2 linked regions of the Elephas maximus indicus genome follow. The protein of the gene in region 2 purifies or fractionates together with the protein of the main gene of each other region. This does not show direct contact. Links are inferred from orthologs where the notes say so. Each region holds a gene or a part of one and is shown on either strand. Other genes may lie near its edges. The genes, in order: TMEM63B and CXCR4.

Region 1 (3,908 bases), on a different chromosome or scaffold from region 2:
CAGGGAATACTCCCAAACTCTTCAAATATGCCTGATCCATCTGCAGCAGGGTGGGAGGTGGGACATGGCAGGGTGATGCCATGCCAGGATGGGTCAAAAGTTCAGAGAAGAGAACCTGTTATTGATCACTTGTCAGGCAAGGTGCCAGGCTCTTTTCCTGTGTTACCAAGTTTGAACCCCACGATAAACCTTGGAAGAAAGTGGTGGTAACCATACTTTTTAATAAAAACTGAGGCTCAGGCAGGTTTAGTAACTTGTCAAGGTCACACAGCTAATGAATGGTAGAATGGAATTTGAACCCAGGTCTCTAAAATCTGTATAATTGGAGGAAACTTGTACCATGTCCAAAAGGGGGCTTTCAGCTACCCACCACCTGCCTTCTGCTTTGCCACATTTCTACGCACCCACCTACCTACCCACCGGCCAGGATGTGTCTGGTGAGCCAACAGCAGGCCCCAGGATGTGCCACCCAGGGCGTGCCAGAGTCTGGACCTTTTGGTGCCCTGTAAGACAAGTCATGCTGACCTGACACTCTACCTGAAGCCTGGCAGACACTCCCATTCCCCTCCTCACCTGTGTCTGGGAGGCAGGACTGGGGGCCCCTCCTGGAGAGGGGTTGGGTATAGCCTCATTCTTCCTGGGCTGTTGCAGACTCAGGGAGAGGTAGAGAGTGGTGTTGGGTAGGGACAACCCAGCCCCCAGGGTGGTGAAGTGTTCAGGCTTGCCCTGAGCAGCCAGACCTCTGCCCAGGGGACCCAGGCAGGTAGTAGCACAGAGCTCCAAGGGCAGCCGGCCCCTCTGACCTCTTCTCCCCATTTCCCAAGCGCCCTTTCCTTTTCTGGGGGAATAAGAGGCCAAAGCCCTGCGACTGTCCGCCCCCGGCAGTGAAGAAGGCCAGGAAGAACAAAGCGTGGCCCCCTCCCCCCAGCAGGGCCTTTGCCCCACTCCCTGCTCGGCGGCTCAGTCCTTTCCCCACCGCACCCTCCAACGCAGGCCCGAGCGGCTCATGAATGAACTGCACTGTGTGGGGCGCAAGGAGAGGACACGCTCCCGGGGCCCGCCACCTCCCCGGCCTGCCGCCCAGTCCCCAGACCGGCCGCGGGCAGCGGCGGCCTCAAGCCAGCACCCGCGAACCCTGCTCCAACCCCGGGCTGGCTTCGGAGATATTCGGATCCGGGAGCAGGAGAAAAGATAAAAGCGACCGAGGGCATCGTACTCAGCGACCCCAGAATCCAAAACTCGGGGGCGGGGGCAGCTGGTTCCCCACAGCGGCGACGAGCTGGTGGGGCGCAGCTGGAACCCACCGAGGGCGCGCGCACCTAGACTGGGCAGGTAGGAGGAGAGTGGCGCTAGGAGGTCGGGGCCGGGGGTCCCACCCCTTGGGATCTCCAGGGAGGTGGGGACAGAAGGCGGCGCACATCTGGACACTCGGCAGGGTCTGAGGACTCACATCTGGATCGGGATGGTGCGGGGTTGGGGACAGCGCGCGCCACCGCTGGGTCCCGCGGGCCCGGGTACCTCCGGGTCCCGCAGGAGGTTGAAGGGAGGGGACGCGTAGCTGAGTCCAGCTCTTTTCTTTGGGTGGTGGGGGGATCCTCAAAGAAAAGAGAGGGGGCTGGGGAGGGGTCGCGTACTCACCCCCAGGCGCAGACTCGGCTCCGGCTCCGAGCCCCGGGTTGGGGCGGGGCGGGGCTGGGGGAGGGGGAGGGGGAGTCGCTGGGCGGCTGGAGCTCCGGGCTCCTGCGGCGGCCGCGGCAGTGTATGGGGGAGGGGGAGCGGGAGGAGGGAGGGGAGCAGGGGGCGGGGCCCCGCAGGTCCCGCCCCCCACGCCAGCACACGCAGGGCGCGCGCACTCTCAGATCACCGCCCCCGCCGGGCCCGGCGCGCAGGCGCAGGGGAGGGGCCACGCGGGGGAGGGGAGGGCGGGGCTTGGCCGGGGTCCCGAGACGGGGTTTTCCCGGGCGGCGAGAGCGGTATGGCGGGGCCGTCACGTTCCTAACTCTTCTTCCCCCATCTCCTTCTTCTCTGCTGTAGGGGAGGCTCAGTTCTCAGGGGTGGGTAAGGGGAGGCCGCAGCAGAAGGGTCGTGGGCCGTTTGGGGTCGAAGTGCCAGTGGAAGGGGTCCTGGGGAGCGCGGGCCTGACCCGGACGCTCCTCATCTCGACCCCGTGGGCGCCGGTGGTCCCCGCGGCCTCTGCGTCCCCCGCGGCCCGCGCTCACCTGCCTTCCCAGGAGTGGGGCCGGCCTGGGGAAAGGTGGGCTGCGCTCGGGCCTTGGCGAGCCGCTTTAGTCCCTGAACTAGGCCGGCCACGCCGGCGCGTCTCCTCGAGTGTCTCCTTCCCTCCTCAGGATTTGGGGCTTGAAGTGGCTTTGACTCGTTTGCCAGGCGCTTCTGTGCAGTGGGACGTGAGCGAGTTTCCTGGTTTCGCGTCAATCAGGCCGATGAGCGGCTCCCCGGATCCAGGGGGTTTCCTGGTTTCTCATTTCACCAGAGGCTGGATCTGCCAACGACGAAGGCTGAGAAGATGAACACCGCGCTGAGAGATGTGTGCATACTCTGTCTATAGCTCACCCACACAAATCACAAAGGCATGAGGAGCACCAACCTGTTCATTTCACTTGGGCTTCCTGAAAGGCATTCTTTTCATTAAGCTTGAGGGGAGGTGGTTTGGGCATGTAAAGGAAGTATTGCTTTCCACCGTGGGCAGTGAATCAACTTTGTCACCGTGAGAGATTGAATGGATTGAATTTATAGAGATTTAAAAAGGCATACGACAGATTCTCCCTGGGTTACCTGGGAAAAGCGGGGAGTTTAGGAGATACTTAAACCTAGGTTGCTGGTGATGGTGGGGAGCTGGCTAGCTGTGGCTGCCAGACATAGGAGGGAGACAGCCTACCTGGGAGTGTCTGCTGTGATTGGTCAGCGTCTTTGCTGTCCACTGGCTTTTTTTTCCCACCGCGATGATGATAGTGTTTACAAGCTGATCTCTTATTTTGATGAACGGTGACCACCAAGAGTGGCTTCAGTTCCAAGTTCAGAGGATATCTTAGGGCGATAGTTTTGGAGGTTCCTGTAATCACAATCAGTCCAGTAAGTCTGACCTTTTTTAGGAATTTGAGTTTTGTTCCTACAATTTTCCTCCCATTCTAACCTGGACCTTGTATTGTGTCCCGGGTCAGAACAGTTGTTAGTGGTAGCCAGGCACCATCTAGTTCTTGTCTCAGCCTAGAGGAGGCTGTGGTTCGTGTGGGCAGTTGGTGCTGTGGACTAATTGCTTCCTTGAGTCTTTGGTTTCCTTCACTCTCCTTTGCTGCAGAGGGGAGAGACCCATAGTTGTATCTTAGATGGCTGCTTGCAAACTTTTAAGACCGCAGATGCTACTCACCAACCTAGGATGTAGAGCATTATCTTTCTGAGCTGTGTTAGGCCAGTTGATGTCCACTGGCTTTTTAAAGAGTTCATTAATAGCTTGTGGGATGCAACTGTAGGGTTCAGTTTATGGCAGTGTATTTCAAACTGTGAGTCATATTAGTGAGGTGGAAATCAGTTTAGTGGATCACAACTATCATTTTAAAAATAATGAAATAGAATAGAAAATGTCAAGAGTGCATTGCATTTGGTAAATATTGTTCCTTGACACTAACTTGTTTCAGGTATTCATGTATGAATATATTTAGCAAGTGTTGTGCAAAATGTTTCTGTACATCACAGAGAAGTTTGAAAAGCATTGGTCTTCTGTATGCTTTTATTAGCCCTCTTGCCTTCCTTAGCCTGAGTTTTCAGTCAGTTAAAATCGTCCGTTAGAATTCAGTTAGCAGACTAGGAACATATGGTCAAGTGTGGGTCTCATTCTTCAGAAAGGTTACTTACTGCCCAAGAAGAAAGACAGTTTACTTTTCATTCAGTAC
Region 2 (3,908 bases):
ACAGATGTATTTCTCCTCTGATTCAGTGACGTTAGCGAAGATGAAATCCGGGATAGTCAGCAGGAGGGCGGGTATCCAGACGCCAACATAAACCACCTTTTCAGCCAACAGCTTCCTTGGCTTCTGACTGTTGGTGGCGTGGACGATGGCTAGGTACCGGTCCAGGCTGATGAACGCCAGGATGAGGACGCTGCTGTAGAGGTTGACCGTGTAAATGACGTGGACTGCCTGGCACAGGAACTTCCCAAAGTACCAGCCTGCCACGGCATCAACGGCCCAGAAAGGAAGTGTAAGGACAAAGAGGAGGTCCGCCACTGACAGGTGCAGCCTGTACTTGTCCGTCATGCTTCTCAGTTTCTTCTGGTAACCCATGACCAGGATGACCAATCCATTGCCCACTATGCCAGTCAAGAAAATGATGGAGTAGATGGTAGGCAGAAAGAATCGGTTGAAATGGGCATTTTCTTCCCGGAAGCAGGGTTCCTTTATGGAGTCGTAGTCACCTGAGCCCACCTCCTCCGTCTCATTGTCCATAGTGAAAAACTGCAAAAGAGGCAAGGGAAAGGCCATTTAACTTCCAAGTTCACCAGGCAAGTTAGAAAAATGTTTCTGGGATTAAAAAAAAAAACAGTTTATAAAACCCAACTCAGCCCAGCCTCCTTCAGGAAATTCTGCTCCCACTGAAGTACTCGGTAAGGGCACACTAGCAGCATGATAGAAGCTTACGGTCCCCCGCCCACGTTCCCCTAGTCACTCATCACATGCTTCTTTAGTAGAACCAATTAGAAAATTCTTTGTTTAGAACAAAAGGGCGTGAGATTCTGAGGTTTCAAAGCTGCAATCTTTGCTTACTCTTCTGCCCTGCCCACTACAGGGAAGAAAAAAAAAACAACACACACGCGCACACAACAAAGAGGCCACTCCCAGGCGGCGTGAGGGTGGGGGCAGAATCTGTTCTGCGGAGCTGGGATTAACGTTCTACACGAAGATTCTCCGAAGAGAGAAAAGAGGCGGGAGGAGTACTCTGAATTCTCCTAAGTAAGGCACGAAAAACTCAGAATTATTCTAAAGCAAGATACAATTTTCCTCAGGCTTACCTAAATATACAAACCATTCTGCAGTTCAAGCAACATGTGGTGGGGAAGGAGGATGCCGCCTTAAAGCAACCGGAGTGCTGGGGTACTGGGCGTGGGCGTCAGTAGGGAGTAAATCGGTACCCCACCCCTATAGGGTCGCTATGAGTCAGAGTTGACTCGACGGCAACGGGTTTGGTTTTTTTTTGGGTACTCTTCCCCAGCCTCGGAGACGTGCGTCTCCTTTGCTATACTTGTGTTTGCCACTTGGCGCATTTGGGACGTTAAGGAGGCGCGGCATTTCCCTGGGTGGGGAAGGTCACGGGGTTCGGGCCCGTGGTCCTCGACCCAAGTTTCATTTCCTTACTCTCCCAGGTCCCTTCCCACCCCGCCACCAGTCCAGCTAACGGGGTCGGAGGTCGGCAGCTGAAAAGCACCAGGCGGTGGGCGCGCGGGGGGCCAAGTTGTCCAGCTCCGGGCCGCCTCCGCCGCCCACCACACGCAGGCCCACCGCGGGCGGGCAGCAGTTCCAGGGGTTCCGAACGCTGCACAGCGGACTTAAGTCTTGCAGGGTGCTGGGGAGCGATTGGGCAGCTCCGCCCTGAGCAACTTTGAATTGCGCGCCGCGGGAGGAGATGAAGAGCCTCACTAGCCAGGGGGTTTCAAAGGCTCCAGGAAACCACCGACGGTTAAACGGCGCAGTTGAGCTCCCAGGGAGTGAAACGGTCTCTGCGCTTGCACCTGCCAATCTGCGCGGGGGAGGACCGGGCAAATCCAGGTGACCTCCCAATCCTGCCCCCTCGTCCCCCCGCCTCTCCTGCCGCGCACACCTCCAGCCGCTGCTACGCGATACGTGTTTATACCCCTTGGACCTCGGCAAGACGTCAAACTCCCGTGCCATGGGGCCCACACTGCGGCCGGGGGGAGGGGGCAAGGGGTGCGCTCCGGTTGTCCAGGTCTCCCCTCCAACCCCAAGGCGCGCGGGCTGCTGTGGGCCACTTAACAACTGTTGGCCCCACTCAGGCAAGCGACGCGGTGGGTTCGCTCGCCTTTTCCACCCCTTGCCACTATGCCCGAGGACTGGCACACCTCCGCAGACCACGCAGTTTAGCAAACACGCGTCCAACGTCCAGAGCGCTTTCCAGGCGCCTTTGCCCAAAGTTAAGGCGGAGGGGCAGAGTCTCCCTGTGAGAACTGAGCTCCTCCTCTAATTTCAGATAACGTAACTCGCTCCAAGAAATACCCCTTCCCCGGGAAGAGACCTTCCATCTGAGTCTCGGAGGGAGCGTGCATGCCTTCTCTGCAGTCGTGCACAGAATGTTCCTATGTTTGCAAACAGCGTGCAACTCCGGTGCGCGCGCGGGACTCAGGGGGGAGACACATGCAATCACCCGAACTGCCGTTCAAATCTTTCCTTCTCTATTTACAGAGAAAAAGATTCCAACCCTACCCTCCTGTGCAGCCATACGCATGAAAACTCTTTTCCATGTCCCCCTCTACCAAGAACGGGCATCTCCAGTGTTCGGATCGCTTCTGCCCGCTCGGAGAAGGGCTGCGTTCTAAGTTTATGCATTTGTACGTTTAAGAAAAAGCAGGTTGAAAGTGGACTTACATTGATCTCGCCCATGGTAACCGCTCGCTCTTCAAGCCGCGGTGGCTACCAGAGAACCCAAATCCTCGAGTTGTCTTTGCTACCTGCTGCCTTAGCCAACAAACTGAAGTTTCTGGCCAAAGCTGGACTTTTATACAGGCTCCGCGGGCTGCGCGTGCGTCATGCGGGCGGGCGGGTGGGCGGGGCAGGGAGAGGGAAGGCGGAGAGGAGGGAGAGGGGCAGACGCGAGGGAGGGGCGGAGGGGTGGGCGCCGAGGCTCCTTTGGAGGAGTAGACCTGGGAAGTCTCCAAGCGGGTGCCGCTCCGCTGGTCTCTGGCCGAGGCTCCCAGGCTGGAAGAGCAGTCCAGAGGAGTCCTCGAATTTGGGAAAGCGGGATGCGCCTGGAGGGAGGTGGGAAGCGCGGACCAGGGATGCGTCCCTGCGTGGTGCATCCATCCTTAATCCCCAGGTGGAATTCCAGACCTGGGAATTATACACATGGAGACATTGAGGCCCAGAGAGGGGTAGACTTGCCCGAGTAACCCAACCAGTAGGTGGCAGTGCTGAAAGTGGGGCCAGAGCCTATGACTCCGTGTCACGCTCTTTTTATCAGATTGCGCTCTTTGAGAAGGTAAATTAAGATCCTTTCTTCGGAACGCAACTGTATATGACCTACGTGCACATTCACAGTAAAAGCACCAAGGTCAGGTGTAGACGATCAGGAAATACTTTCAGAAGAAGGTAGGATTTGGCATCATCCTGAAGATAGAGAAAAGGTGATGGAGAGATAGATTTGTATTCTTGGCAGGAATGTCAGTGTTGTGTGCCCTCCAGTCCATTCCGACGCACAGTGACCCTGTAAAACTGCTCCACAGGGTTTCTTAGCCAGGGTCGCTATGAGTCGGAATCGACTCGAAGTCAACGGGTTTGGGTTTGGCTTTGCTAATCTTTAAGGGAATAGGTTGCCAGATCTTTTCTCCCGCTGCTGGTAGTTTGGGACCTCCAATCTTTCAGTCAGCAGCGGAGTGCTTAACCATCGCGCCACTAGGGCTCTTTAGGAATGTCAGTAGTGGCAACCAGTTCATGAATAGTACTTAAAAAAAAATACAAAAGTGTGCTTTGATATAAGAGATATTTAGTGAATAGTATTTTTGTAACAGGTCACGAGGTAATTTCACATCATCGCTCATTCATTTTCACAACCGTGTGGGATGGTGTTACCATAACACAGATGAATTTATCCA

Evidence for each region.
Region 1: the proteins of CXCR4 (region 2) and TMEM63B purify together in Homo sapiens (co-immunoprecipitation; 3 studies listed by BioGRID and IntAct, with this or other methods). This does not show direct contact. The link is inferred for Elephas maximus indicus from reciprocal best matches to the Homo sapiens genes CXCR4 and TMEM63B.

The regions. Positions count from the first base shown.
Region 1 is NC_064819.1:108,669,446-108,673,353, reverse strand, and holds the start of TMEM63B (CSC1-like protein 2), read right to left. Parts: upstream 2,381-3,908; 5' UTR 2,220-2,380; intron 1,974-2,219; exon of another isoform or gene 1,928-1,973; intron 1,693-1,927; 5' UTR 1,639-1,692; intron 1,333-1,638; exon of another isoform or gene 1,030-1,332; intron 504-1,029; exon of another isoform or gene 413-503; intron 1-412. UniProt on the Homo sapiens protein: Mechanosensitive cation channel with low conductance and high activation threshold. Osmosensitive cation channel preferentially activated by hypotonic stress.
Region 2 is NC_064824.1:31,281,986-31,285,893, forward strand, and holds the start of CXCR4 (C-X-C chemokine receptor type 4), read right to left. Parts: upstream 2,796-3,908; 5' UTR 2,701-2,795; coding exon 2,686-2,700; intron 544-2,685; coding exon 1-543.